Linked DNA regions of Sus scrofa. The protein of the gene in region 1 interacts with the protein of each later gene in a pairwise test. Links are inferred from orthologs where the notes say so. Each region holds a gene or a part of one and is shown on either strand. Other genes may lie near its edges. The genes, in order: ZBTB9, EIF4E2, DTNB, PIN4, LASP1, EHHADH and PIN1.

Region 1 (4,519 bases):
CTCCACAATTTTTCGGTGTTTCTCTGTACATAGCTCTCTGGCGGGATAGGGGAGGTAGGGTGGATGGGGTTTGGGGGGGCTAGGTCACAGGAGGGAAGAGGCCCCTCCTTGGCATCCCCTTTTCCCCGACTGCCGCCCCCTCCCCAGCCTAGTCCCTCACCCCTTCTTGCGTTTGGTATTGAGACTCTTCCCAGACTCCACTCTTCTTTCTTTTGTATGGACAGTTCCCCTTCAGTCCCATCCCCTACACACCTACACCCAGCCGGGGCCAAATTTATACTTATATAAAAGTTGTAAATATGTGAAATTTTATCCCTGTGCCCTTTCCTCGCTTTCCCAACCTCAGATCCTACCCCTGGACTCCCCCTTCCTCTTCTCTTTGGCTGTTGTAATTATCTGGGGTTTGTACTGTACATATCCGGGGTGTGTGTGTGTGGGCTGGGGGCGACCCCTCTGTACAGAGCTTCCTGGCCCCCTGCCCCCCAGACTTTCCTCCCCACCCACACCCTAAGGGTAGGAGATATTCTTCCTACCTGTTTTATTTTGTTTTCTCGTTCTCCCTCCCCACCCCACCCTACCCCCAGACTACTCTATCCCCCACCACTGCCTCTTTTTCTCCACTCCCAGCCCCATTTCCTTTTTTTCTGGAGTGTGTGGTGAAACAAAAATCATGTTTAATAAACGGAGATTGTTCTTTTATCGCTGCGCTGACTTTCCTAGGCCGGGACCTCTAGGAGGACCAGCAGAGCGATAGGATCTGCTTTTTGAAGGGAATGTTGACAGCCTGGGAGCAACTCTATGTCCCTGCGTGGTGCCACAGGCTTCCCCTAGGATATCCCTATCCCAACCAGCGAGGAGACTTACTGTCTGAGGGAGGGGGCTTTGCACTGGCCCAGCTTACCCAGTCCATCTCCCCTCACCACTGCACCACTTAACCCGAGTAAAGAGGTCAAGGAACATAGCATTCCCTTATAAAAGATGCCAAGTATATGTTTACGCACACCTCAAAACAATCACCTAGAAAGGGAAATTTATTTAACTGCTGGTTAGAATGCTCCCGTGCGTAATGGGGAAAAGACTGTGGTTCCTTGGCGGATCTGGGTTCCAACCCCAGGCCCGCCGCTCGCGATTTCCCCCGAGGAGACTCAGGATTGGCAACACCTATCTCGCAGGTGGCCGGGGGCGAGGGTACAAGGTGATGGGGAGCATTCCCTAGCCCATACTGCGGGTGCCACTTGGTCGCGCCCTCTCAGCACCTGCCGGAGGGGGGCGCTACATCTAATTACCGGAAAGGCTCCCGGGTCGCTCACTCCGTCGGGGTGCGCCGTTCTGCGGCTGGGCCTCCAGACCTGCCGTCCGGGTGGAAGCCGCGGTCTCCCACCCTCATCGCCCTCTCCCGTACAACCAATCAGTGCGAGGCTTGTAGATCGGCGCTCCCCGATTGGCTGCAGCTCCGGCCCCGCCCTCTGCGTCGGCGTCCGGCGGGGAGGCGGCGACTTCCGGTCGGGGCGGCGAGGTGGCTGTAGAGGCGCTCGGGACGCCGCGGGGGCCGCGTGTGTAGCGGCGGGGGCGTGGCGGCGGGAACTTGGCCGGCGCTCGTGGTCTCCCCGGCGGCGACCGCCTGGGAGCCGGGCAGTCTGAGCGCACGAGTGGGAGCGAAGCGGCGGGCGGGAGCCGACCCGGCCGGCGATCCCGGCTCGTGGCCGAAGGATTCATCCCCCCCCAGGCCTTGAGGTTAAAGCCGCGGTCGGTGCTTTGGCGTGGAGACTGTTTTGGCTTCCTCTGCGGGGCAGTGCGGGGGCATTCGGGGAGACGCGGTGCCCCCAGCACGGCTCCCGCGACCCTTCTCTCCTTCCTAGCGTCCGTCCCGCGCCGGCCTGCCCCGTCGCCTGTACGCGACCCTCGGAGATCTCTTACCCACGAGGCCATGGCTGCCTCGACGCCTGTGCCTCCCGGGGCCCCCTCCCCCGCCTGCAACCCTGCCCCGCGGACGATCCAGATCGAGTTCCCCCAGCACAGCTCCTTGCTGCTGGAAGCCCTGAACCGCCACCGGCTGGAGGGGAAGTTCTGTGACGTGTCCCTCCTGGTTCAGGGCCGCGAGCTTCGGGCACACAAAGCAGTGCTGGCGGCTGCCTCTCCTTACTTCCATGACAAGCTGCTTTTGGGGGATGCGCCACGGCTCACTCTGCCCAGTGTCATTGAAGCCGATGCCTTCGAGGGGCTGCTGCAGCTCATTTATTCAGGGCGCCTCCGTCTGCCACTGGATGCCCTCCCAGCCCACCTGCTTGTGGCCAGTGGCCTCCAGATGTGGCAGGTAGTAGATCAGTGCTCAGAAATTCTTAAAGAACTGGAGAACTCAGGTGGTGGACTTTCAGCCCGGGCAGCCACCCCTTTCCACGCACTTCTTTCCACCACAGCCTCTCCAGGAGGCTGGTGCATTCGCTCTTCCTCTTTCCAGACCCCAGCGCAGGCTTCGGCTTCTACTGAGAGCCCCGTCGTAGGGGACGGCAGTGAACTGGGAGAGGTGTTGCAGATTCAAGTGGAGGAAGAGGAGGAGGAGGAAGAAGAGGAGGAAGAGGAGGGCCAGAGGTCGGCAGCATCCTCTCAGACTCCGCAGCCTCCAAGAGCATCAGGGAGCTTTCCCCGCCCTCCTGGATCCCACACGCTGCCCACATCCAGTACTCCACGCAGGCTTCCAGAGGGTGACAGCGCTCTGCTGGAGCCTCCTGCCCCTCACACTGCGCTGCCCCCCAAGATATTCTACATTAAGCAGGAACCCTTTGAGCCCAAGGAGGAGATAGTAGGAGGCGGAACGCAATCTGGAGGATCGAAGGAAGAGACCGGAGTGCTTCCTGCAGGGGACGTGGAAGGGAACGGGGAGCTGGGCTTCTTGCTGCCCTCAGGCGCAGGGTCAACATCGGGAGGAGGAGGTCCATCCTGGAAGCCGGTGGATCTTCATGGGAATGAAATCCTGTCGGGGGGTGCGGGCCCTGGGGGAGCAGGGCAGGCTGTGCATGGGCCTGTGAAGCTGGGGGGGGCACCGCCTGCAGATGGAAAGCGCTTTGGCTGTTTGTGTGGGAAGCGGTTTGCGGTGAAGCCGAAGCGTGACCGGCACATCATGCTGACCTTCAGCCTTCGGCCCTTTGGCTGTGGCGTCTGCAACAAGCGCTTCAAGCTGAAGCACCATCTGACGGAGCACATGAAGACCCACGCAGGAGCCTTGCACGCCTGTCCCCACTGCGGCCGTCGGTTCCGAGTGCATGCCTGTTTCCTTCGCCACCGAGACCTGTGCAAGGGCCAGGGCTGGGCCACTGCTCACTGGACGTACAAGTGACTGCTGAGGCTGTGTGCTGACTCCCAGGACAAGGGAGCCCCTGCTGCTGATGGAGCCCCTGCTTATCCTCACTACCCTGGCACCCCAGTCTGGGGTCTCGTTAATCATGCCCAAAGGGTAGATAATTAATGAGCCTCATGGTCTTGGGTGTGGGCGTCAACCTGGCAGATTTGGAAGTTCCAGTTCCTTCTCTCAGCCCGGGTTCTTGCTGACTATCCTACAGGAAAATGGCTTATAGCCATTCGTAAATTGATCACTTGTCCATGCTATGGTTTCATGCAGGAAATCGTATTTCAAAGTAGTTGATCTGATGAGAGAAGAGTTAGAGCAGAAAACCGTAATGGTAAATGTTTCATTCACGCTCTTTTGAGTTAAAGGAGCTGGTCTCCATCCAGAGATACATTTGATTCAGAGTCCTGGTAATTCAGAGACTAAGTGCTAAGCTCTCCTCCCTCATCATTGCGGCAATTATGTGAGTAGAGTTCTTTTGATATCCTCCTTTTGTCGTATCTTTCCATGAGCTCTTTAGATCCTCAATTGTGTTCTCACCAGTAGGAACTTTTCCAACACCTGTCTCTGTACGTTGTAGTTGAGCACTTTAACCAGTCGAGCATTCTGCGGGTCACTTAGAACAGTCTTTAGTGGAGGGCACTCCCTCTACAGTCTGTGCCTCTTCTCTGCCTTTGACCCCCCTGATCACTCAGGTGATCACGGTGACTGGAATGTGACCAGGGGACTCAGGGGGTGGCCCCTGACCATCTCAGGGGTTGCACCACTGCTCTGAACAAGTGGTCACGGTCAGAGGGACTCAGGGCTGAGATGGCGCATGCTGAAAACTAGAGAATAATTGCACAGCGGGACCATAGCCCCTCTCCTTCCGTCCCACCCACACGCGACAGCCCTTGGTGGACAGGTAGAAGGGTAGATATTGGAGTGGGGAGATTGGTGTAGGTGTCTTAATTTCTTCAAATAAACTTTGCCCTGAAATCAAAGCTGACAGTGAACTGAATTGAGTCATTTATGTGGGAGAGACAGTGAGAACAGAGCTGCAAGGACTTGGATGTATTCCTTATGCAGCTGGGTCATGTTGCCAGGGGAAGAATGGGATGGTGTCAGGCTGGTGCAGAGAACACTGTCCTGAACTTGAGTGGGCCAGATTCTCTACCCTGACCTGCCACTGAATAG
Region 2 (4,472 bases), on another chromosome or scaffold:
CTGATAATGGAGAGGGGAGAGGACCCCGGAAATAACCCCCTCCCCCACGTGGAGGGTTGCTGGCTTTGGGAATCAGTCACCACAAACTCATCTCATTTACTCCAGTGTGTGTGTGTGCGCGCCCGCTGTGCATCTGAAGCAGGGGCTTAGATCTGGCAGGCAACTGGAGGATGGTGGACCATCCCTGGTTCCTGTATGCCTCTTACTAGCTTAGTCACCTGGTATTGGTCCCTCAATCTCTGACTGCTTCAGAAAGCGGAGATTAGCTCTGTAGCTCCTGGCAGAAATAAGCAACGATTAACAACAGCTATCGCTTATGAGGGGCACCTGTCTACCGCCTACCACTGACGGTCCCGTTCAATCCACACGCCAACCTGAAGAGGCGGATACTTTCAGTACAGGATCGCCAGTACCGTGCAGCCGCCCTGGGGGTGGAGTCGGGATCTGTACCAAAGCCATGGGTCCAGAGCCTGCGCCGCCGCCGACTCGGCGCTGTATTTCTCCGAACCTGCCCGGAGAAGGGCTCAGGACGCGCTCCCCTGGGCAGGGCGGGCGGCGGCAACCCAACAGAAACACAGCTCAGGCCCGCAGGCCGCCGGGTCCCCCAAACCCAGCGCCGCGGCGCAGCGGCCGGGGGCCGGCGTCCTGGGATACGCGCTCCCACCTGGCCGGCGCAAAGACGTTCCGCCGCGTCCCGCGCAACCGGAAGTGGCCGGACCCGAGGCGGAGGGACCTGGCGGAGCGGAAGTCACTCCGTGAGGCAGTGGCGACGGCGGCGGCGAGAGGATGAACAACAAGTTCGACGCGTGAGTGCCGCGTGGCCGACCCCCGGGGCCCCTTCCCCCAACCGCTCCCCGCGCCCGCCCCCGCCGGGACCGCGGCAGGCGCAAACTGCGGCACCGGCTCCCCTCCCTCGCTGGGGCTGCGGGCTGGCCCGGCCTGCGCGGCCGGCGGGGAAAGGGGGTTTGGGGACGTGGGATGCCGGGGTGTCGGGGGGTCCCAGGGTCATACGGACCGAGGACGACGTGCGGGGCGGGGGGGGGGAGGAGGTGGCCGTGCCGCCCGGAAGGGGATTTTTGGACGCCCAGCGCGGCGGGTGCAGGTTGCCCGCGGCGTGGAGGGGCGGAGACCTCGGTGGTTTGGGTGTTTCCGCAGCCTGTCTCCCTTGGCTCTGAATCCAGCTTTCCGCACACACTCACGGTGGCCTAGCGAGGTCCCGTCTCCTGTCTGTGTTCTCACTTGCAAAGTGGGCACGGTAACAGAGCCCATGTGGGAGAGTTGCAAAGATGCGGTGAGGTAATGTGGCTGCCGCGCTCAGCGCAGTGGCTGCTCAGTTACGGAATTCTCCTCGTCTTGCTGAGACTCCTTCCTGCTTCCTTTCTCCTCCCCCTCCTTTCCCCGTCTTCCAACACACTCCAAACAAGGGCGCCTCAGTTTCTTGCCCAGCGAGTTCACTTGTTTTTACCCTTCCTTTGCAGCTCTGTGCATATCTCATACGATTTCTAGTTCCAGCATCAAATAATTTGGAGGCGCAGGAAGGAAATGCAGTTATTTTTGCATATTTTCCTCCAGCGATTGTTATCACGGGATAGATTATGTTCTTAGCTGTCTTTTAATCGGCTAGTAACTCTATCTTCTCTTCCCAAGACCTAGATTTCCAGTCCCAGACCCACCAGTCACCAGTTATTTGACGGCAGAAAAGTTACCCGGTTTCTGAGCCACTGTTACCCAAACCACATTAGTGGTTAGTGCCCTGTTGCCACACTGAATGTGATATGGATCAGATCACATCCAGCCGTGCTTAAGGTACTTTGTAAACTGACAGGGAGATATAAATGTAAACTGAAATTACTCTTAGTTGAGGTTGCCACTCACTGTTGCTGATGGGAAATTTTGAGTTTTTCCAGTACAGTGAGTGCTGGTGGATAATTCAGAGGTCCTGGATTCCAGCCCTCCTGGTAACTCTTCAGGCATGTTTCTTGGTTGCTGAGCGGACTCTTGCTGAAACAACATTCCTTTTTGATTTTTTTGGTTTTGGGGTTTATTTAAACAAACAAATGCTTGCTTGCTTGCTTGCTTGTTTAGGGCCATACCCCAGGCATAATGGAAGTTCCCAGGCTAGGGGTCAAATTGGAGCTGTAGCTGCCGGCCTCCACCACAGCCACAGCAATGTGGGACCCGAGCCATGTCCATGAGCTACATCACAGTTCACGGCAATGCCAGATTCTTAACTCACTGAGCAAGGCCAGGGATCGAACCTGTGTCCTCATGGATGCTAGTCAAATTCATTTCGGCTGAGCCACAACAGGCACTCCCCCACACTCTTTTTTGGATGGGACTTGAACCCAGCCAGAACTCAGAATGGGACTTGCATCCACAATCCCCAGCTTAGCGGGGGACTCAAACCCACTTTTATTGTCTTTTTAGGGCCACACCCATGGCATATGGAGGTTCCCAGGCTAGGGTTCAAATTGGAACTGTAGCTGCTGGCCTACACCACAGCCACAGCAACACCAGATCCGAGCCATGTCTGTGACCTACACCACAGTTCACAGGAAGGCCAGATCCATAACCCACTGAGTGAGGCCAGGAATTGAACCTGCATCCTCATGGATGCTAGTCAGATTCATTTCTGACGAGCAACAACAGGAACTCCTCAAACCCACTTTTAATTGAAACCACTCACCTGGTGTCAGGACATACTGAAGCTCAGGTCAAGAGGCAAAATGATAGACAAGGGTGATTTATTACCACCGGATGCTTGTGAGAGAGAAGCGGGCAGGCCAGGGAGTGCAGTCCCAAAGGAAAGAGGGCTCTGTTTTTATAATCAAAAGAAAAAGTGGGTCCTCATTTTTGGATAGATGTCAAGGATCACATCATTAAATCCTCCTCTGGCCCTCTGTGGTCTAACCAGAACTGTTCCCACCGTGGCTCAGCAGGTTACCAACCCAACTAGTATCCATGAGGATGCGGGTTGGATCCCTGGCCCTGCTCAGCAGGTTAAGGATCTGGTGTTGCTGTGAGCTGTGGTGTAGGTCACAGACGTAGCTCAGATCCCGAGTTGCTGTGGCTGTGACCTGCAGCTGCAGCTCCAATTTGATGCCTGGCCTGGGAACGTCCATATTCCACAGATGGGTCCCTAAAAAGCAAAAAAAAAAGAAGAAAAATGGCAATAACGGCTTCCACATGCGTTGCTACTTTTCGTATATTATTTCTGTGTCTGCTAACAACCCTCTAAAGCAGATTTTGTTAACCTCCTTTATAGATAAGGAAAACGAGACTCTCTGAGATTAAATAACTTGCCTGCAACAAGAAGGGCCATATGGTGGGATTCAAACTCAGGTTTGTTTAATGTTGGTTCAAGTACCTCTTGACGAAAACTAACTTTGATCGTTTTTAATTAGTTTTAGTTATTAGCTATTTGTATGCTGAGCCAGATTTTTAAAATATCTGTTTTCTAGCTCTGCAGGAAGCAAAACTGTCTTCCATTTAATTAGCACCTGAGAACAACACCCCTGCCCTTAGTTTTGTTTTTGTTGTTTTTGGTTTTTATGCGAAAGAGTGCAGTTTTTAGGCTACTGCCTTGTATTTGGCCTCTGCACCCTTCACCACATGGCTCCTAAGGATGTGTTCCAGTTTGCCAGAATCCTGATCCAGTGCCTGGATTGAGTACTGTAGTCTAATCCGGTGGGTTTAGATTAAAGATGAGCTCTAGGCTCCCTTTTTGTGAGACTTTCCAGCTTCGTAACCTAAATGCCCCCCCACCCCCAGTCCTGAGCTCCCACTGGCCTTGATCCTGTTCATATGCAGAACCCCAAGAAGCCTTCACTGTACTTCAGTCCCTAAGGTATTGAGCTGGGTTTTTAAATTTAGATGCCATATTTGATTTCGTACCTGTTCTTTCTCCATTAGCTTTGGCTCATCTTTTTCTTCCTTTTTAAACATTTTTTTGGCCTTGTTTGTCGCATGTGGGAGTTCCTGGGCCAGGCATTGAACCCCAGCCACAGTAGTGACAATGCTGAATCCTTAACCACTAGGCCACCGAGGAACTCCAAGCTTTGGCTCATTCTTAACTGTTGTCTGAACAACTTGTTTGATGCGCATCCTCTTCTGCCTTGTGCTGCTTTGATTTTAGAAGTCCATTCGGAGTTCCCATCGTGGCGCAGAGGTTAATGAATCCGACTAGGAACCATGAGGTTGCGGGTTCGGCCCCTGCCCTTGCTCAGTGGGTTAAGGATCTGGCGTTGCCGTGAGCTGTGGTGTGGGTTGCAGACGCGGCTCGGATCCCGAGTTGCTGTGGCTCTGGCGTAGGCCTGTGGCTACAGCTCCGATTCGACCCCTAGCCTGGGAACCTCCATATGCCGCGGGAGCGGCCCAAGAAATAGCAAAAAGACTAAATAAATAAATAAATAAATAATTAAAAAAAAAGAAGTCTATTCACTAAACATGTGTGATTTCTCCCACTGCCTGAT
Region 3 (3,815 bases), on another chromosome or scaffold:
TGGGCACTTTTTGTTTTTTTTTTTTGGCCATGCCTGCCACATGAGAAGTCCCCAAGCCAAGGATCAAACCAAGCCACAGCCATGACCCAAGCCACAGCACTGACAATGCTGAATCCTTAACCTGCCTAGCCACCAGGGAACTCCCAGGTGGGCACTTGTGAAGAATTCATGACCGAGCTGACCTGGCAGCCACATTCACCTCTCCCTCGAGCTGCTCCCTGCCCTCCCCAGCTGTCTGTCCGGCTGCATCCTGACCAATGCTTCTGCTCCACTGGGCACCCTTCCTGCTTTGCATCTGCTCCCTCGCGTGGTCGGTACGGATAACCAAGACTCCGTAGATGAAACATGGGCTAGCCTGCCTTCCCCCCCAGATTACTCCAGAGCCCTAAATTCATCTCAGCTACTCCAGAGCCTCATGTTGTATGCCTGTGTCCTTCAAAATCACCTCCCCCACAGCCTGCCACCACAGTGTCAGGAGCTGTAAATCCGCTTGGCACGCTTCAGGCTGGTGCGTGTCTGGTAGACTGACAGCAGCGGTCCTTGGTGAAAAGAGAGCAGGCTTTGGAGGGTCCAGGCAGTGGTTCAGGATTCCAGGGTGAGCCCGACTATGATTTAGTATCCCAAGCAGATAGGGAAATTGTGCTCTTATCAAAGTTTAAATCATTTTCACCTTGTTCGTGTGCAGAACCCGATGGGCGGAGCCCCCAATAGAACTGCTCCCTAGATTTAAGGTGGATTCCTTTCCATGTTAGTCTTATTTTTTTCCTCTTCCTGAGAGCCACTTGTCTCCAAGGCTGTTTTATGTCAGTTGCAGCTGCTGGTTGTAGGAAGTCTGACTCCCCTGTTTCATACCTGGTCGGGGAAAAGTGGACCAATGAGGAACAAAGGGGAGAGGCCAGGCCAGGCCAGGAGCCCCCAGGGCAGGGAACCCCTAGGAGAAGAGGCGGGGGGTGAGGAGACCCCGGCTGTGACCTCGGTGTGTTGTTTGTGTCTGTTGCACACAGGTTAGCGGAGGAGCCGGGACAGAGAGGAAGCGAGGTGAGTAGTGTCTCTGCCGGCCCCCAGAGCCCCTTCCCCACCCGCCTTTCCTCGGTCATGCTTCTTAAGCCAGAGCCACCCCAGCACATGAGATGCAAGTTGGGGTTTCCTCTAGGAGCCCCGCTGCACCTCTTCTCTTGTACGGCCCTGCTGGTGTACCTGCTTGCCCCAGTTTCCCGGCCGGATCTGTCTTGCACTGCCCTGGGCCTGGGCCGCAGGCAGGCCCTCGTGTCCCCTGTGTCTGCATACAGGCGGCAGACCAGACACTGCTGGCTGGAACAGGCCCTGGGAGCAGGCGCCAGAGCTCACCTCCCAGGACGGCTCTGCCTCCTTGCTCCTGATTTCCCACCGCCACTGTCATGTCATTTCTCTCTGGGGTTCCAAACCACAGCCAGCAAGCACACCCCTGAGGTTCTGTCACCCAGAGTTGGAACCCACCACGTGTTTCTGTCACACAGGATTCATAAAGCTGACCAAGCCATTTCCCATGACGCCTGGCCAAGCTGCACTGTTTCTTCACCTCCTAAAAAATTTTAATAACAGTACAGATTTCCCCGCAGGCCAATGCCCATTGCCATTAGGAATTAATCTTTCGCGTTTTTCCATCTGAGGACCTTAACTCTTAACGGGTCCCAGTTCCAAGGCAGTGCAGCTTTGGCACAGGCGCCCCGGAAGGATGGGAATGGATGGGAATAAGGGGACAGCGCGTCCGTTCAGGAGGAGTTCTTTCCAGGCTAGATGCCTTGATGCGGCCATAAGAGTCTTCCCTCCCTCCCCCATCTCCTGTGTTTAAAGTTAGGCCTCGGTTACAGATCTTACAGGCAGAAAAGCCAGGGCTGCAGCCCATGATCCAGAAAAGGAACTTTCTCAGGCCCTTCTGAGGCGTCTCCCCCTGGAGCAGCCTCCCGCCTTTTCCTGACACCCCCGCCCCCCGGCTGCACCAGGCCCTGGGTTCTGTCCTGCTCGCTCTCTGGGGCCTGCTGTCTCTGAGCCCCCACTGACTCCGGGATCGTGCAGGCTAAGGATGGGCAGCCCCGAGCTGCAGGAATCCCCTCCCTGCCCTGGGAATCCCGGAGCCCCCGAGGCCCCAGGGCAGGCTTTTGCCTGAGCTCACTGCGCATGCGGACAAGGCCCTTCCTGACAGCAGGCCTGGCTGCCTCTGCCAGCAAGCGAGTCCGTAGCTGACTTGCGCTGGGGGAGCCTGCCAGAGCCCCTCTTCCCGGGGCACAGAGGTCCTGGGGGACAAGGAAGCCATCAGGCCCGCCCCCACTTCATGCACACAAGGAAGCTAAGGCCCACTACCCAGGAGCTTGGAGCCAGAACTGGCATCGGAGCTGGAGCTTCTGCTCCTAGTGCTGTCCTCGGACCCCTCAGGAGTTATGAGAAACTCTGCAGCAGCGGAGAATGAAAAGCATAAACGCTCAGGTGGGGCAGTTTCACGGACCCTTGCCTTCTGCTCCTCTGAGGCCGTGAGGCTCAGGCTTTCCCTCCCTCTACGCAGCGCTTTGCGGCACATCCCCGACCTCTTCGCCCTTCTCAGTCACAGTTCTTCCCCTGAGCCTCCCGCATTCCAAAACCTTGCACTGTGAACACCCTTCTTTCTTCCCTGGAAACGCTTCCTGACCCTGTGACCTAAGCAAGCACTCCAAAGACTCGAGGTACCCCCAGAAAAAGGAAGCCCCCTTTCCCTAAAAGGGGGTGTGAGTATTGTCAGCCCTTTGCATGTTGAAAGTTGAAAGGTGCGCATTCCAGCAGCACCAACGTTGCACGTTTGTCTTGTTCCCGGCAGATGTTAGCAGCCTTTGCTCGGAGACCCTCAGCAGTGCCTGTGAGTCACAGTGCGTCTGTCCTGCACAGGCACGGGGGACGTGGAGCGAGCTGGCACCAACACAAGGAAGGCGAGGTCCTCCCCCAGAGGCGAATTCCTGTCCATCTTTCCACGGCACACCTGGACCAGGCCTGCGGGCTGCCAGACGTCACCACCCGCCAGGCAGAGGGGAGCCCGAGCCCCTGGGAAGTGGGAGGGGCGCGCCCCCCTCCTGGCACAGCCCTGCATGAACTAGCATCTTCATCACTCCCTTCCGGGCATGGTCTCATCTCTGCAACAGGGAATTTACTGGAGATTGAAAAGAGAAAAGAAACAGCACGACTCTCCTGTGTGTGTGACCTGATGGAGTTCTTGCTGGCATCTCGCCAGCATGCGCGTTGTCCCCCAGGGTGAGGGCACAAGTTTTCTCCCGACCTTTGACCTTTAAAAGCCAACAGGTTTTCTTCCCTCTGTCGTGCAAAGACAGCTTCAGGCCCTGCTCAGTTCAACAAACGTTCACACCCTGGCCACAGTGCTAAAAATAGCCTCCTTCCTTTCTCTCTCACTGCTTAGGCTTCCGCCCCGGTCGGTGCCGCCGCTCAGCAGCCCAGGCGGGAAGCGGGAGCAGAGAGAGCTCTGCCCTGCAGCCCCTGCTACGGCCTCCTCCCGCCGCGGCTGGAGAGGGGATCCTGGGCCGCAGAGCCCGGCGGGCCGGCGGGGCGCGCGGACCCGTGACCGCCAGGGGGCGCGCTGCCCGGCCTCTCCCCTCTCGGGTCCATTCGGCTCCGGCGCACTTGGTAATCAATCCCAATTCCCGGTGATTTTCATTTATTTTTTTCTCCTCCCTGGGCTCCAGGATGTTATTTTTAGTAGAAGAACTGCTATAAATATTTATAAAGGGCAGCGACTGGAATGAAGCGAGAGGCCCCACAGCTGGCTCTCCTACGGGCCCCAACGCACACGCCTCTGC
Region 4 (4,315 bases), on another chromosome or scaffold:
AGGCTACTTTTCCTTTAGAGAAGAGATGACAGGTACTCATTTAAACTTGTTATTTACAGAGAAGTTCAACATAACAGGAGTTGATACTTCCACCATAGCACTAAGCTTCAAAAGGGAACTCAGTAGACACTTTACTTCATGAAGCTAAATTAATCTATGATTCACCTCTCTTCAAACAGGAAATTTGTGCCCTACATAAACCCTTCACAGAAAATGGATACACAAGTAAGTGTGCTGTAGTTGAATGGGAGCACCTAAAGCCCAGCCTGGATTCCTTGCATCCACTTTGAAATCCTGCCCTCTAAGGGCAAACCACTGAGCTCTTGGGAGATTTCTAATAAGCACTGCAACCATGTATTTGAGTACTCACAATTCCAATAAGTAGAATCTCCAAGAATGTATTTTAAAGATCAAATTTCCCACCATCCAGATTTGGATAAACAATACATTCATGTCCAGACTCTTGGAGTCTACTACATTGCCTATTGATACCTTCCAAAGAAAAGTTACTGATATTCAGATTAACAACCACTGGCAGCATTTTACATTTTACTACTGTGTCATTTTGCTACTATGTCAACTTCTGCACTGATGGCAGCATACTTACTGTTGGAGGCTGATGTTCCTAAGAACTATTGTTGGATTAAGTGTTCAGTTCAATAAACATTTCCTAAGTAACTAAGTTCCAGGCAAAGACATAAAGATGAACAAGCTCCCTTGCTCAGGGAGCTCATATACTACTGGGAAGATGGTTATATAAAGTTATGCAAAGCAGATCTCTTCAGGAGAATGAGGTATGCTCTACAGACAGGTGGCTGTGGAAGCAAAGAGGGATATTTTAGCCAGTCAGGGAAGTTTTCTTGGATGAGTAGGAGCTGACCAGGCAAAGAAAGAACAAAGGCGGGGAGACGCTTCAGGGTGGGGGAACAGTGCAGTATGTGTAGAAGACTATGGATGAAGCCAAATCTGAGGTGGGAGTGGGTGAGATGAGCCCAGGGGAGGTGGCTGGGGGTTAGGGTATGCGGGTCTTTGGGCCCCATTAAGGAAATTGGAATTGATCCTAGGAGTAATAGGGAGCCATTGAAAAGTTTTATTCAGGACTCTCCATCTTACTTGTCTTGGATCTCCACTGCCTAGCATACAACAGTTGTTCAATAAATGTTCAACCAAACTGAAAACCCAAAATTCTGACCACCAAATGGCTAGGAGAATGTTACGGCCACAGGAGTTTTATTACATCAAATTCTTAAGTGAGTCTGCTGTACACTGACACTAGAACAATAATGCCTTCCAGTTATCCCATCCTCTCCCCTACTCGATGCTATCATCTTCTGACGGCCAGCTCACTGGCTCTGACTGAGGACTCTGGCACCAACTTCAAGCTTCCATTCCACCCTCACTCCTGCCATGAGTTTAGATGACCTTACCACCTATGCAGAGGAATCATCCAACAGCCTAACCTCGCACTTCTGGAGCTCCATCCCAAATGTCCATGCCTTCTACTCCAAGCTGCCTGTTCCCAGGGGCACACGATGGAACTGTGCCACTCAGAACTAGTGGTTCAGTCTTTGGCTCAATTTCCTGTCCTTCCAAGCTTTCTCATGCCTCATTCCCACAACGCAGGCCCTTTAATTCCACAAAAACCACTCTCCCACTCAATCCCTTTATCCTGCTATGTTCCCCTAGACTAACAGACTTCTCCTTCCCTTCCCACTCTGGATCCCATGCTTGATCATCTGAACTGCGTTTCCACTGGTACTTGTAATTCCCTTACATTGCTCTTCTTCTGTTATCATTGTCCAACAAAATCTTAACTTTGGCTCAAGGCTACAACCTAGCTCTTTTCAGTCCTGTATTGTGTCAGTTATATGGTACTCAGTAAATCATGACTGTGCTATGTCCTCTACAAAGTCATGGCCTTCAGTCTTATTCAGGCTCTCAGCCCTGAAGGCGACACTTTTATTAATGTTTCATCCCCTCTCCCATGATCCCAACGACAATTTCAAACCTTTACCACTCTCTTCAAGACCCCTACTCCGTCCCTGCCTCCTGAGTCTTAAAAACTACCCCTACCTTCCACTTTATTAAAATATTGAGGTCATTAAACCTGATCTCCTAGAAACTCCACCCCTCCTCCTCTCTGGCTCCAATTTTCACAATCACATCCATCTTCATCTCTTTCCCTGTGACCTCAAGCATATTGTGACCCTCTCCTATTCCAAGAATAACTGATCCACCGTTTTTCTCCTAAGTCTCACGCCTCTGTACCTTTCCCTCTCAAACCCTACTGGATCTGTCAGCCTCATTCCCAAGTTTTGCCCATTGTGAAGAAACAAACAAAATCAAAATTTCAAACTTTCTCGTAATCCTCTTCTATGTACCATCTAATCCCCATTTTTTGCCCCCCACCCCCGCGGCATTCGCAAGTTCTGAGGCCAAGGATCGAACACGTGCCACAGCAGCGACCCGAGCCGCTGTAGTGACAACTCCTGATTCTTAACCCGCCGAGCCACAAGGTAACTCCCCCATGCTTTTAAATAAAAATTTTCCTGAGAAGTCCACACTGCTTCCAACAATTATCACTATAATTCTCACTATATCACTTCCTGGTCAGTGCTCTAGTCACTAGCCACCCGCTGCCTCCGTCCCAGATCCCGGGAATCCCCAGTCTGCTCCCTCGCTCTTCACCCGACCCCATTCTCCTCAGCTGCTCTGGCTGCTCTACCTTTCCCCCCTTTTCCCGATGCGCTTTTTCCTTTCGGTGGCATCTCCGAAACTGGTCGTCGAACTCTCAGTTGCTTTAGTTGCCACACAAAGCCCCTTCAAGCCCCACGGGTATGTCCTAAACATATGCCTGCAAGCGGCATGGCAATTGGCCATTCTTACTGCGGCTCAGGAAGCAGGCATATCTTGGGGCAGACCCGGTCCTTTGGCTCTAGGGCCAATGGGGCTAAACAAATCTGACCAATAAAAAGCTCGGGCCGGGTAGGGGGGCGGAGCTAGAGGTTGGGCAGGGACGGGAAACCCCGCCTCTGCGCTATTTGCTGCTTCTGTCTCTCGACCTTATTTGTGCACCGCTTCCCTCATTCCCCCGCCCGCCTCTTCCACGCATGCGTAGTGGTACCCGCGGGCTTCTGCAGTCCCTCGCCCCGGCTCTACTTATTCTCGCGCGGCGGGCAGACAAAGGCAAAGCGGGAAGCGACCCGGCGGTTGCTTCTCGGTCCTGCCCCATCCTGCACGCGAGCGGCAGATTGTCTCTTTTGGGTTTTCGTTTTTAAAGTTGATTTTGCAGCTTGTAGCTGACTTAGTTAAAAAAGTGTTTTTTAAAAAAGGATATCACCCCCCTGCCTCTTGCAGAACTCTCATGGAGAAAAATTGGAAGCAGTCTAAATGTCGAACATTGCCTAAATGAATAATGTTTCGATAACACAAAATGATAGGCCCCTTTAAAAATAATGGGTGTAAAGCTGTGGGTACAGACACAAGAAATGGCCTTAAGGAAGGTTATAGACCAAGCTAAAAAATATGATTTTTTTTTTTAAGGGCCGCACCCCGCGGCACATGGAGGTTCCCAGGTTAGGGGTCGAATTGTAGCTGTAGCTCCTGGCCTGCGCCACAGCAACCCACCGCAACGCAAGATCCGAGCTGTATCTGCGACCTACCTACCACAGCGACCTACCTACCACAGCTCATGGCAAGTGGCCTTGTTCAGTGGGTCCTTAATCCACTGAGCAAGGTCAGGGATTGAACCTGCATTCTTGTGGATGCTTGTCAGATTCGTTAACTCCGGAGCCAAGATGGGAACTCCTATGATTCTTTTCTTTTTAAGTATATTGTATACTATATAATATGTGCATATGGAAGACGGGAAGGCTACAGCAAGGTGTGCTCAGTGGTGCTAGTACAAGTTCCTGTGTATGTTTCTGCTTATTTTCCAAAATTTCTATCACAGTGAAGCATAATACAGTTAAAAACGTGGATTCTGGACTACCTGGCTTCAAATCCCTGCTCCACCATCTGGCTACCTAGATGGCCTTGAGGAAGTTACCTGACTTCTCTTTGGCTCAGTTTCATCATCTGTAAAATGGAACTGCTGATAGTAATATTTACTTAAAGGATAAGAGTATTCAACAAGTTCATATTTGTTTGGTTTGGTTTTGGGTTTTTGTTTTTTATTTTTACTTTTATTTATTTATTTATTTATTTTTGTCTTTCTGTCTTTTCTAGGGCTGCACCCGCGGCATGTGGAGGTTCCCAGGCTAGGGGTCTAATTAGAGCTGTAGCCACCAGCCTACGCCAGAGCCACAGCAATGCA
Region 5 (3,815 bases), on another chromosome or scaffold:
CAGGAGTCTCTCCCATCCCAAGTGGTGTCGGAAGGGAGCTTTGGTGGGTTTGCTGTGGGTCCTTCAGCAGCACTTTCTGCCCCTGCAGATAAAATACCACGAGGAGTTTGAGAAGAGCCGCATGGGCCCCAGCGGGGGTGAGGGCCTGGAGCCCGAGCGCCGAGATGCCCAGGACACCAGCTACCGGCGGCCCCAGGAGCAGCAGCAGCCTCATCACATCCCGACCAGCACCCCAGGTGAGCGCAAGGCCTGCGGGGTCTGAGGACCTGAGGCCAGGCTGGCCACAGGGTGGGCAGGAGGTGAGACACACACACACACACACACACACACACACACACACCCAGGCTGGCCACAGGGTGGGCAGGAGGTGAGACACACACACACACACACACCCAGGTCCCATCCCTACTGAGGGCTGAGGGTCAGGGCCTGTGCTGGACCCCAGTGCAATGGGGGGGCGACACAGCCACTGCTGCAGGGTAGGGACACCAGCAAATGTGCTCAGAGGCAGAAGCCTTGAGAAGTGGGGGTTGGGCAGGGTTGGGGGGCGGTCATAGGCTTCATGCAGGAAGGGAGGGGGCTCTGGGAGGGGCTGGGTTTGGACACTGTCTTAGTGTCTGCGCCTGTCTCCTGCTGTCTTCCAGTTTACCAGCAGCCCCAGCAGCAGCAGGCGGCCCAGTCCTATGGTGGCTACAAGGAGCCTGCAGCCCCAGTTTCCATACAGCGCAGCGCCCCAGGAGGGGGCGGGGTGAGTAGCCCTGGTCGAGGTCAGGGGGAGGGGAGCTGGGGGAGGTGGCTAGGTTTAGGGAAAGGCTTCCTAGACTTGGAAAACCCAGAGGCCCAGCCAGCTTCCCCTGACCTTTGACCCCAGCTCCTCTGACATCTGCAGGTGATAAGGGTCTCAGCCTCTTGAGCAGAGAGGAAGCGCGGAGTAGTGGGCAGAGCCCTGGCCTGGGCCGGGCCACACTCACATCGTATGGCAGCTCCCAGGCTAGGGGTCCCAGGCTACGCCACAGCCACAGCAATGCTGGGTCCGAGCTGTGTCTGACCTACACCACAGCTCCCGGCCATGGCAGATCCTTAACCCACTGAGCAAGGCCAGGGATCGAACCTGCTTCCTCATGGATACTGGTCAGATTCGTTTCAGCTGAGCCACGATGGGAACTCCAGCCAACAGTTTTTAAATTAGAATCACTCACCTGGCGTTTGGCCTCACTGAGGGTCAGGTTCTTTGTGCCTCAGCGCAGAAGGAATTCAGCGAGAGGCAAAGTGACAGGCAAGAAATAGATTTGTTAAGGTAGGACCCTGTGAGAGATGCCAGTGGGCAGGCAACGAGGCTCTGCCCCGAGGATTAGGTGCGCTGCAGTTTTACAATCCAAGGGACTGGGGTGGGAAAAGACTGCCTCTTCATCTTTCAAGTAGTAGCTCCTCCTTGGTATCTGGTAAGCGAGTGTTTGACCCTATAAGCTTAAACTAGAACAGTCTTGGCGCTTATTCACATTTGCACAAGGATTGTCTTTAAATTCCTGCCCTTAGTCTGAGCCTGAATGCAGGTCTCGCTCCATCCTCCACCCAGTGACCTCAGGCCTATCCCTCCCCGCCACTAGTCAGGCAATCCTGCCTTGTTCTCATGGCTTTTTTGAGCAATTATTAACTTACAGTGATCTCCCAACGTTCCTTAGGTTTCTCTATCTATGTTCGGTCCCTTATTGGGACTCCTACAACTACCTGTGTAATGATCCTACTCCAGCCCTTATCAGTATCTGGGGTGTCAGGCGGGCCCAAGGGAGCATCTGAAGGATGAGGTTCCGGATGGACCAGCCAGTCCTTCAGATACTCACTAAGTCCACCCTGAACATGAGGGATTTGGCTCTGAAGAAAGTCCTCCTTCTCGGCCTCTTGGAGCTTACATCCAGTCTGGGAGACAAACATGAAAGCAATAGATAAGCAGAAGTAACGAAAGGTCAGAGATAAGCCGTGAAGAAAAAGACAGCCGGGTGAGGGGAGAGAATGACAGTTCTCAGGAAAGGATTGAGTGGTGGAGAAGGCCAGCAAGTGCAAAGGCCCTGAGGCAGCAGTGTTCTAGGAAAGTTCCAGGATCAGCAGGAGGGCCAGGGTGACTAGGGAGGGGAAGCCGGTGGGGAGGTGAGGTCCCATCCTACAGGGACTTGGAGGCCACAGGAAGGCTTTTGTGAACTGGGGAGCTGTGCAGGGCGAGGGGTTTGACTTGTGTTTTTAAAAGATGGCTCTAGCAGCCGTGTTGAGAAGCAGCAGTAGAAGACGAGGGCAGAAACAGGGAGATAAACTCGGCTGATGCAGCTCTAGGTGGTGGCCAGTTGGCCCGAGAGATTAGAGGCAGAGCTGGTGATAAGGGAAATGGCTGCGGTCACTGCAGTCATTTCCTGAGGGTTGTGACCTCTTAGCCCATAGCCTTCGGGGCTGATGGAGCTGGTTTCTGCTGCTTGATCAAAAGTCTGAATTTTCATGCTAAAGAAGATAAGGGGCCTCTGAAGGATTTAAAGCTGGGAGTGGCATTATCAGGTTTGCATTTTGGAAAGTTCCCCCTGAGATCAAAAATGGATGGACAGGGAGCTCCCGTTGCGGAGCAGCAGAAACGAATCCGACTAGGAACCGTGAGGTTGCGGGTTCGATCTCTGGCCTTACTCAGTGGGTTAAGGATCTGGCGTTGCCATGAGCTGTAGACACGGCTCGGATCTGGTGTTGCTATGGCTGTGGTGTAGGCCGGCAGCAACAGCTCCGATTAGACCCCTCGCCTGGGAACCTCCATGTGCCGCAGGTGCAGCCCTAAAAAGACAAAAAAGTAAAATAAAATAAAATATGGATGGACAGTTGGAAGAGGCAAACCAGAGGCTGGACGGTACAGGCTGAGCTGACCCCCAGAGACAAGTCCATGTCAAGGGCAGCGAGGGTCAGAGGGCGTTCGAATCTTGCCTGCCTCCAAGATCACAGATGGGTTTCATGTGTTTTTCTTGGACATTTCCTAGAGCTGGGGCTTAAACACAAGATTTTTGCTGAAGTTGGAAGGTGGGACCTGATGGTTTTTCTCTCAGGAGTTGTTCTTTGTCTTGAACTTGGGAAGCAGATTCATCAACAGCTTTAAAAAAAGAAAGTCTAGTGTTTATAGTAATACAGATCATTGCAGACCAGGAATATCATTTTTTTCTTTTTTTGGTTTTTGCTTTTTTTATCTGTACCCGCAGGCATGTGGAAATTCCCGGGCCAGGGGTCGAATCCACGCCACAGCAGCGACCTGACTGCCACAGTGTCAATGCCAGGTCCTTAACCCACCGAGCCACCAGGGAACTCCCTGGGTATGTTTTTAAACTACCTGGGGCAGTGTGCATGGGACCTCACCTGCACTCCTGTTCCCAGAGGTGGGGCAGAGCCCTGTTGGTGGCCTGGCCCTTAGCAGATGCCAAATGCATTGTTTGAAAGGTGGCTGCTCTCAGACAGTGAGATACCCAGGTGGGAAAATTCTTGGCAAAGCTCCCAGCTCCCGTTCCCCTGCTCCTCCGGCCTCTGCTCTGGGGTCCCAGAGACTTAGGCCCCTGGGACTGACTGTGCCTCCACCCCTGCAGAAGCGGTACCGCGCCGTGTATGACTACAGTGCCGCCGACGAGGACGAGGTCTCCTTCCAGGACGGGGACACCATTGTCAACGTGCAGCAGATCGACGACGGCTGGATGTACGGGACCGTGGAGCGCACCGGCGACACGGGGATGCTGCCGGCCAACTACGTAGAGGCCATCTGAGCCCGCTGGGCGCCGCCCCGCCCCGTCCGTCTTCAGTGCATT
Region 6 (3,583 bases), on another chromosome or scaffold:
TTTTGCAAAGGCCAAAATCCCCGTGATTGCTGTAGAACCAGACAAGAAGCAACTAGAGAATGCCAACAAGATAATAACCTCCCTCTTGGAAAAGGAAGCATCCAAAATGCAGCAGAGTGGCCATCCTTGGTCAGGACCAAAACCCAGGTTAACTACATCTATGAAAGAGCTTAGTGGTGTAGATTTAGTCATTGAAGCAGTATTTGAGGAAATGAACCTGAAGAAACAGGTCTTTGCTGAACTGTCAGCCGTGTGCAAGCCACAAGCATTTTTGTGCACCAATACTTCCGCCCTGGACATTGATGAAATTGCTTCTTCCACCAATCGTCCTCACTTAGTCATTGGCACCCACTTCTTCTCACCAGCTCATGTGATGAAGTTGTTAGAGGTTATTCCCAGCCGATACTCTTCCCCCACTACCATTGCCACTGTTATGAATTTATCAAAAAAGATTAAGAAAATTGGAGTAGTTGTAGGCAACTGTTTTGGATTTGTTGGAAATCGAATGTTGAAGCCTTATTATGATCAGACATATTTCTTATTAGAAGATGGCAGTATGCCAGAGGAGATAGATCAGGTGCTGGAAGAGTTTGGTTTCAGAATGGGACCTTTTAGAGTATCTGATCTTGCTGGGTTGGATATAGGTTGGAAATCTCGGAAAGGGCAAGGTCTTACTGGACCTGCATTGCCTCCAGGAACTTCTGCCCGAAAGCGAGGCAACCAGAGGTACTGCCCAGTTCCTGATATGCTCTGTGAATTGGGACGGTTTGGCCAGAAGACAGGTAAGGGTTGGTACCTTTATGATAAGCCATTGGGTAGGATTCACAAACCTGATCCCTGGTTTTCCAAATTTCTGACACAGTACAGAGAAACCCATCACATTGAACCACGTGTCATTAGCCGGGATGAGATCCTTGACCGCTGCTTATATTCACTCATCAATGAAGCATTCCGCATCCTGGAAGATGGGATAGCAGCTACCCCAGAGCACATTGATGTGGTCTATTTACACGGGTATGGATGGCCAAGGCACAGGGGTGGGCCTATGTTCTATGCTTCCACAGTTGGGTTGCCCACAGTGCTAGAGAAGTTGCAGAAATATCACAGGCAGAATCCTGATATTCCCCAACTAGAGCCTTGTGACTATCTGAAAAAACTGGCTTCCCAGGGAAACCCTCCCCTGAAAGAATGGCAAAGCTTGGCAGGACCCCCCAGCAGTAAGTTGTGATTCAGCCTTTTGGGTTTTGACTCACATATTGGCATCAGGTAATGCTTGCTGAATTTCATTGAAATTAAATCCAAGATCCAAAGTAAGAGGGCTCTGAAATACAAAGCAAAAGGAATAATCAGTTGGCTAAACTTCCTCTTTGGGTCTTCTGTCTGATGGTAATTCTAATGTCAGATCTTCAGGAATGTGCTTCTTATGCCTCAGAATCTGTCCCTAACAGATAAATGACTTTAATCACGGGGAATAAACTTGTGTTAACACCATAATAGCTAAGGAGAAAGCCTCAGGAATAAGTTGAGGTTCTCAAATTCTTTGATCTTTGGAGGAATATATCATCAATTGTTAACTGATAAATGCAGCTGAGTCCTAAATTCATTCTGAGACCTTTCAGCCTCACACATGTAGGAAGTCTTATGGACCCTTCACTCAACAGACATTTATTGTGCCCCCCTGAGCATCTTGCACAGCACTCAACAGATCTAGAGTCCAGAGGGGCATTAATCCTGCAAGGAAGCTGGGATAAAGATCAGTTCATAGCCTCAGAGGTGGAGCAGAGATGGTTGGCAGGGTAGAGTCGGCAGTGAGGGTCTCTATGCATGAGTTGAAAAGCTGCCCAAGGAGAGGCAGAGGCGATAACCAGAGACAAGGTATCAACAGCAGAACAGTGTTAATGCTGTAGGCCAAACACAGTTGGGAATTGGTGAGGAAATCACAATCTTCCCACCAGAATGTGGAACTCAGGGTAGTGTGGCAAGTCATGCTCAATAACCATTCCTGTCCAAGGCCCATGTGCATAGTTGTCTTTGCTGTTTGTTCCCAATGTTTGATGGTAATTTCCTCAGGACCCAGGATGTCTACAACCTGGTCAGTCAGTCTTTCTTTCTCTCTCTCTCTCTTTCTTGGCCCATACTTGTGGCATAAGGAAGGTTCCCAGGCAAGGGGTCCAGTCAGAGCTATAGCTGCCAGCCTACGCCACAGCCACAGCAACACTAGATCTGAGCCCCGTCTGCAACCTACACCACAGCTCACTGCAACGCTGGATCCTTAACCCACTGAGCGAGGCCAGGGATTGAACCTGCAACCTCATGGTTACTAGTCTGATTCGTTCCTGCTGCACCACAATGGGAACTTCAACCTGGTCTTTCTTTACTCATATTCAAGAAGGAGTAAGTCGTTGACTTAGTATAAGAAGAGATCTCAGGGATCTAACCTCCTTCGACTATGTGATAGAGTAATGGTGCTAGTTCCTCTGTCATGACAGTTCCGCTGTCACCCCTTTGTTGGGTGTGAAATGGTCACAACTTGACAAATCTAAAATTATTACAGAAAAATTTCTTATAGTTTTGTTACAAGAATTCTTCTCTTTTTACTTTTTGCCTTGTACAGTTAAAAGTTGAGGGGCTGGTCAACATCAAAACTTATACACATGTTTATAGCAGAATTACTCATAATAACCACAAGTTGGAAACAACCCAAATGCCCATCAACTGATGAATGGATAAATAAAATGTAGAATAGCCATACAATAGGATATTATTTAATTATAAAAAGAAATTAAGTGCTCATACATGCTACATAATGAACCTTGCAAATATTATGCTAAGTGAAAAAAACAGGTAAATATATTAAGATAGAAGCAGATTATAGGTTGCCTGAGGCTGGAATGATTGGAGGCTGGGGAGTGATTGGAATGGGTACAGGGTTTCTTTGGGGGTTGATTAAAATGTTCTGAAATTATTGTGGTGATGGTTACTTAACTCTGTGAATCTACTAAAAACCATTGAATTGTAAACCTTAAATGGGTGAACTGTATGGTATGTGAATTATATCTTAATAAAGTTAATAAACAAACAAATGGGCTTAAGTTATTATCCTTCAGGGTGATGTAAATAAACTTTTTTGTAATATTTTCATCAGTTAACCCCAAAAATATTACCAAAAGTTCTGATGGAGAAATCCTGAATGAATATAGTACACATTTTCCATTGTAAAAATCAAACTGAAAAAAAAAAAACTTCTGGAGTGTGATTTGAATTGTAGTTAAATTTAGAATAATTTTGAGATGAGTATTGCTGGATTTTATATAAATTGGTCCTTAAAATTAAAAACATCAAAAGAAAATATTCCTGAAAATAGTAACTGTCTCCAAAGTGATTTAGTTTCAAATTAATGTAAACTTATTTCAAATTAATACACAACATAAATTTTTCTTTAGACCTTGAGTCAATTTTAACTTTGAGGGTTTTTTGAGTTCTTTTTTTTTTTTTTTTTGTCTTTTTGTTGTTGTTGTTGCTATTTCTTGGGCCACTCCCGCGGCATATGGAGGTTCGCAGGCTAGGGGTCCAGTCGGAGCTG
Region 7 (4,319 bases), on another chromosome or scaffold:
TAAGTTAGTCATTAATATATTTGAATGAATCCAGAAATTTTCTGTGATATAAAACTGCAGTTTTTACACAACTAAGTATGCATACTCTAATAACATTCATACCGTTCAGCAGCTTGCTTTTTAAGGCCTTTTTAAAGCTTTGATATCTTTCTGTAAGTGATGTCATTCTTTCAAATTAACCTTTATTTGCTGAATTTTTTTTTTTTTGGTTTTGTTATGCTTTCATACATTCTATAATTGCTACACTGTACAATGACTTTTTTTTCCACTGAGCAGCATATATCCTTGCTAAGACCAGATACTGCTTTTGAGTGCTTTATATAGATTATTAACTCATTTAATCTTTATATCAAAGGTATTTACGATATGTATTATCTCTTAAACTCATTTCACAGATGGAGAAGCTGAAGTGCAGAGGTTAAGTAATTTGTTCAAGGTAATAGCAAATGGTAGAGCTAGGCTTTGAACCCAAAGCAATCTGACTCCTGAATGCTCTTAACCTACAGCATCCTACCTCTGTAATTTGTCATAGACGTGTTCCTCTGCGTTTCATGTCACTGAGCCTCATTCTTTTCAGCGGTTACGTAAGTGCCTGTGCTATAGATGAACTGTAAGTGAACTCTTCCCTGTTGGTGTTTTGACTCCCATGTTTGTCTCCAGCCCTAGGTCTCCAACCACCTCCTTGGTGTGTCCCACATGTGCCAGACTTAAGTTTAAACTGACTCAAAACTGAGTTCCTCATCTTCCCACCTGCACCTTCCCCCTTGTCCCCATCTGAATGGCAATGCCAACACCTACCAGTCACCCAGGATGGAGACAGGAGCCAGACTGTGAGGGAATAAGTGAAGTAAAGTAGATTCTAAAGGAAGTGGAAGGTGTCTAGGTAAGTAGCATAGGGAAAGAGACTTACACAAAACTAAAAGGAGGTGGGCTAGCTTTGGGCATGTGGAAGGAACAGGTGGGAAGAGGGAGGGTGGAGAAGCCAAATTTAGGCTTCTGGGTTCTTAGCTGTTCATCACCAAGGTAACTGGGTTGCTATGGTAACAGCAAAGGCAGCGTGCCTTTTCCAAGAACCTCCTCTGCGGCGGTTACCCTCACACCAGCCAGGCACTTCCACGTGGGGGCGCCGGCTGGGGGTAGGCTTAAGAAGGCGGGAATTGCTGCGGCATTGGCCAATCGAATGGGCTCTGCAGCGAAGGACGCAAAGGCGGGGTCGAAACTTCTTTGAAGTTCGCCAAAGGGCGTTATTAGGCGGGCTCAGGTCCTTTTCCCACCACTTAGGGGCCGAGGAAAGGGGGAGGGCGGGGCTTGGGTGAGGCCCTCAAGAAGGCCCAGCCCTGGTGAAATATGTGAAGCTCCGCCTATTCCTTCTTCTGCTCAATAGGAAGCCAGAGAGTCAATCCGGACAGTTAGGGTTCCCAATGAGTGTCGTCGCCATGCCCCGGGGCGTGACGGGGCCAGCCAATCGGCGGCGGTGGTGGGCGGGCACGGGCGGCAGAGGCGGTGCGGCGGAGGTGGAGCGGGCTCTGCCGCAGGAGGGAAGATGGCGGACGAAGAGAAACTGCCACCCGGCTGGGAGAAGCGCATGAGCCGCAGCTCAGGTGCAGCGGGGGTCGGGGCTGGGGCGGGGCCGTGTGGGCCCATGGAAGCAGGGCTCTAGCTTGTCCCTCGGACGCGGGCGGCCGCTCGATTCCCGTGGGGTCTTGGCTCCTTCGCGTTGTCCCTGGGTAACGGCCCCGGCCCTCCCCGGGGCTGCGAGCCTGAGGAGCTGGGAACCCGAGGAAATTGAGGCAAGGGACTGGGTCGGAGAGGCCCGGCGCGCTGCCTGGGTGGTAGGGGGACAGTGTACCCGCGGCGCTCCCCCAGGCAATGGCCTTGGTCCTGCCGATCTTGCTGACATCTTTCAGCCTAATGCACCTGACATCCGGCGGGGGTGGGGGGGGATGTCTTTGCACCCTGCTGGGCCCAAGGGGCACCCCTGGGGAAGGACACCCCAACACCATGCTCAGGGCGTGGCCCCAGGGTGTTGCTTGGCTTCGAATCCTAAACCTCCTGCTAACGTGCCTGCCATCCACACCGAATTCTGAGTTTGCTATAATGTGAGAATTCAGGTTATCTGCCTGAGAATAGTCTCTGTGCTCGGAGCCGATTAGGGCTTTTCCCCCATAATAATGTTAATAATAGGTCTTATCTCAGTGCCAAGTATTGTGCTAAGGGTGTTAAGTGTGTACTCTGGCCACAACTCTGAGAGGTAGGGTAGTTAATAACACCCAGTTTGCCGGTGAGGAAACCGAGGCCAGAAAACTTAAGAAACTCGCCCATAGTCGTTCATTTCAGGGGCTGGGGGCTGGGTTAGATACCAGTCTAACTCCAGAGCCCCCTGCCCTTGTTACTGTAAACCTCTGAGATGCAGGCCCACCATTTCACTCCCCTGCCTCCATAGCTCATAATCATCATGGTCACAGTAATAATTCCAATTTATTGAACGCCAGGAGCTCTGTCGAGCACTTTGCACTCATCATGATGGACTCTCCACATTAACCCCATGAAGTGTTATATCTTTATTCTCTCACCTTGCCCTCACTTTTCAGATGAGTACACTCAGGTTCAGGGAGATGGAACCCATTGCCAAGGTTTTAGAGGCATTGTTTGGCTCAGCTCTGGCCCACCCTGCTTGCAGCCCTGTGGCTGGGACCTGCAGCAAAAAAGCTGATGCTCTTCTCAGTTCTGGGCCTCCACTCCTGCCATTTCTGCTCAGCTCAACCCTGACAGTCTTCCTCCTGGGTGACATCCAGCCCTTCACGGTCTTGGGCAGAAGTCCTCCATATAACCCAGACAAACTCGGCCCCTGGAATGACAGCCTATCTCTACTGGGTCCTACTTTAAGTTTCTTTCTTTTTTTTCCTTAGATAAGAAGTAGATTTATTGATACAGTGTGGGCCGTCTCAGAAGGTGAGAGCAGCCTGGAAGATGCACATTCTTTAGACAGAATATTATCTCAAAAGGCCAGAGAGTGGCCTCAGGTTTCTTGTTTGCAGCCCTCACTCCATGCTCCTTAGTCTCTGGGTAACATCTGGCCCCCAGTAATGCTGGCCCCTAGTTCTGCTGCACAGTGCACTCCAGAGGGGAAAAGAGCAGAGTTTTGGCATCTGGCACACCTGAGTACAGATCCTGCTATCTCCCCCACCACACCCCACCCCCGGCTTTTATGCCTGGAGCAGAGTAAATACCCAGGGAAGGTTGCTTAGTTTTGTGGTCTATAACATGGAGATATTAGTAGCTGCCACAGTCTTTTTTTTTTTTTTTTTTTTTTGTCTTTTTAGGGCCATACCCATGGCATATGGAAGTTCCCTGGCTTGGGGTCAAATTGGAGCTACAGCTGCTAGCCTATGCCACAGCCACAGCAATGCTATATCTGACCCACATTTGTGACCTACACCACAGCTCACGGCACCGCTGGATCCTTAACCCACTGAGCGAGGCCAGGGATCAAGTTCTCATGGATGCTAGTCTGCTTCATTAGCGCTGAGCTATGACGGGAACTCCTCCTACACTCTTAATTAAGTGTGCCAGGTGCTGTCCTAAGTACTTTGCAGATGTGAATTCATACAGTCACTCCTTCAGGCAGGTACTGTCCTTATTTTCATTTTATAGGCGAGAAAACCACGGCCCCGGGAAGGTAGATCACATGTGAGGGTGTGGTGGAGCCACAGATTTGGACCGGCCTTGCTGAATGCATGCTTGGAACCATTCTCTGTCCCTGAGGCTTCCTCTCTTCCTAACCTTCAGTTATTTTCCCCCTTGAACTTTTTTTTTTTTTTTTTTTTTTTTTGGTGGTGAAAGAAAGTGTAGCATTTATTGTAAGGCAGTACAAGTAGTCTGAGACTAGCTAGTGCTCAAAAATCCTGCACTCCCCCCTTGACCTTATTAATGACTGAAGTTGTAAGGTGGTCTCATTTGCTTCTTTGGTGTCTGTGTCCCCAGCTAGAATGCTAGCTCCCTAAGGCCTGGTGGCACTGGGGACTTGCTGAATGAAAGGTAGTTCGTCAGCCAGCCCCTGATCATGGCTTCCCAGTGGTGTCCTGTGAGCAGGTCCCAGCTGAATTCCACTTCCACCTCTTCCAGGCCGGGTGTACTACTTCAATCACATCACTAATGCCAGCCAGTGGGAGCGGCCAAGTGGCAACAGCAGTGGCGGCAGCAAAAATGGACAAGGAGAGCCCACCAGGGTCCGCTGTTCGCATCTGCTGGTCAAGCACAGCCAGTCCCGGCGGCCCTCATCCTGGCGGCAGGAGAAGATCACCCGGACTAAGGAGGAG

What was found.
Region 2: the proteins of ZBTB9 (region 1) and EIF4E2 interact in binary tests that used the Homo sapiens proteins (3 or more experiments, as listed by UniProt). The two-hybrid records come from large-scale screens. The link is inferred for Sus scrofa from reciprocal best matches to the Homo sapiens genes ZBTB9 and EIF4E2.
Region 3: the proteins of ZBTB9 (region 1) and DTNB interact in binary tests that used the Homo sapiens proteins (3 or more experiments, as listed by UniProt). The two-hybrid records come from large-scale screens. The link is inferred for Sus scrofa from reciprocal best matches to the Homo sapiens genes ZBTB9 and DTNB.
Region 4: the proteins of ZBTB9 (region 1) and PIN4 interact in binary tests that used the Homo sapiens proteins (3 or more experiments, as listed by UniProt). The two-hybrid records come from large-scale screens. The link is inferred for Sus scrofa from reciprocal best matches to the Homo sapiens genes ZBTB9 and PIN4.
Region 5: the proteins of ZBTB9 (region 1) and LASP1 interact in binary tests that used the Homo sapiens proteins (3 or more experiments, as listed by UniProt). The two-hybrid records come from large-scale screens. The link is inferred for Sus scrofa from reciprocal best matches to the Homo sapiens genes ZBTB9 and LASP1.
Region 6: the proteins of ZBTB9 (region 1) and EHHADH interact in binary tests that used the Homo sapiens proteins (3 or more experiments, as listed by UniProt). The two-hybrid records come from large-scale screens. The link is inferred for Sus scrofa from reciprocal best matches to the Homo sapiens genes ZBTB9 and EHHADH.
Region 7: the proteins of ZBTB9 (region 1) and PIN1 interact in binary tests that used the Homo sapiens proteins (3 or more experiments, as listed by UniProt). The two-hybrid records come from large-scale screens. The link is inferred for Sus scrofa from reciprocal best matches to the Homo sapiens genes ZBTB9 and PIN1.

What each region holds. Positions count from the first base shown.
Region 1 is NC_010449.5:29,753,238-29,757,756, forward strand, and holds ZBTB9 (zinc finger and BTB domain-containing protein 9), read left to right. Parts: upstream 1-1,491; 5' UTR 1,492-1,927; coding exon 1,928-3,334; 3' UTR 3,335-4,331; downstream 4,332-4,519. UniProt on the Homo sapiens protein: May be involved in transcriptional regulation.
Region 2 is NC_010457.5:133,059,530-133,064,001, forward strand, and holds the start of EIF4E2 (eukaryotic translation initiation factor 4E type 2), read left to right. Parts: upstream 1-1,670; 5' UTR 1,671-1,806; intron 1,807-3,265; 5' UTR 3,266-3,322; coding exon 3,323-3,342; intron 3,343-4,472. UniProt on the Homo sapiens protein: Recognizes and binds the 7-methylguanosine-containing mRNA cap during an early step in the initiation. Acts as a repressor of translation initiation.
Region 3 is NC_010445.4:113,473,635-113,477,449, forward strand, and holds the end of DTNB (dystrobrevin beta), read left to right. Parts: intron 1-1,004; coding exon 1,005-1,038; intron 1,039-2,827; coding exon 2,828-3,259; 3' UTR 3,260-3,375; downstream 3,376-3,815.
Region 4 is NC_010461.5:58,068,317-58,072,631, reverse strand, and holds the start of PIN4 (peptidyl-prolyl cis-trans isomerase NIMA-interacting 4), read right to left. Parts: upstream 2,875-4,315; 5' UTR 2,769-2,874; coding exon 2,726-2,768; intron 13-2,725; coding exon 1-12.
Region 5 is NC_010454.4:23,225,462-23,229,276, reverse strand, and holds part of LASP1 (LIM and SH3 domain protein 1), read left to right. Parts: intron 1-88; coding exon 89-236; intron 237-644; coding exon 645-748; intron 749-3,599; coding exon 3,600-3,773; 3' UTR 3,774-3,815. UniProt on the Homo sapiens protein: Plays an important role in the regulation of dynamic actin-based, cytoskeletal activities.
Region 6 is NC_010455.5:123,103,585-123,107,167, reverse strand, and holds the end of EHHADH (peroxisomal bifunctional enzyme), read left to right. Parts: coding exon 1-1,228; 3' UTR 1,229-3,083; downstream 3,084-3,583. UniProt on the Homo sapiens protein: Peroxisomal trifunctional enzyme possessing 2-enoyl-CoA hydratase, 3-hydroxyacyl-CoA dehydrogenase, and delta 3, delta 2-enoyl-CoA isomerase activities. Catalyzes two of the four reactions of the long chain fatty acids peroxisomal beta-oxidation pathway.
Region 7 is NC_010444.4:68,714,410-68,718,728, forward strand, and holds the start of PIN1 (peptidyl-prolyl cis-trans isomerase NIMA-interacting 1), read left to right. Parts: upstream 1-1,488; 5' UTR 1,489-1,543; coding exon 1,544-1,601; intron 1,602-4,125; coding exon 4,126-4,319. UniProt on the Homo sapiens protein: Peptidyl-prolyl cis/trans isomerase (PPIase) that binds to and isomerizes specific phosphorylated Ser/Thr-Pro (pSer/Thr-Pro) motifs.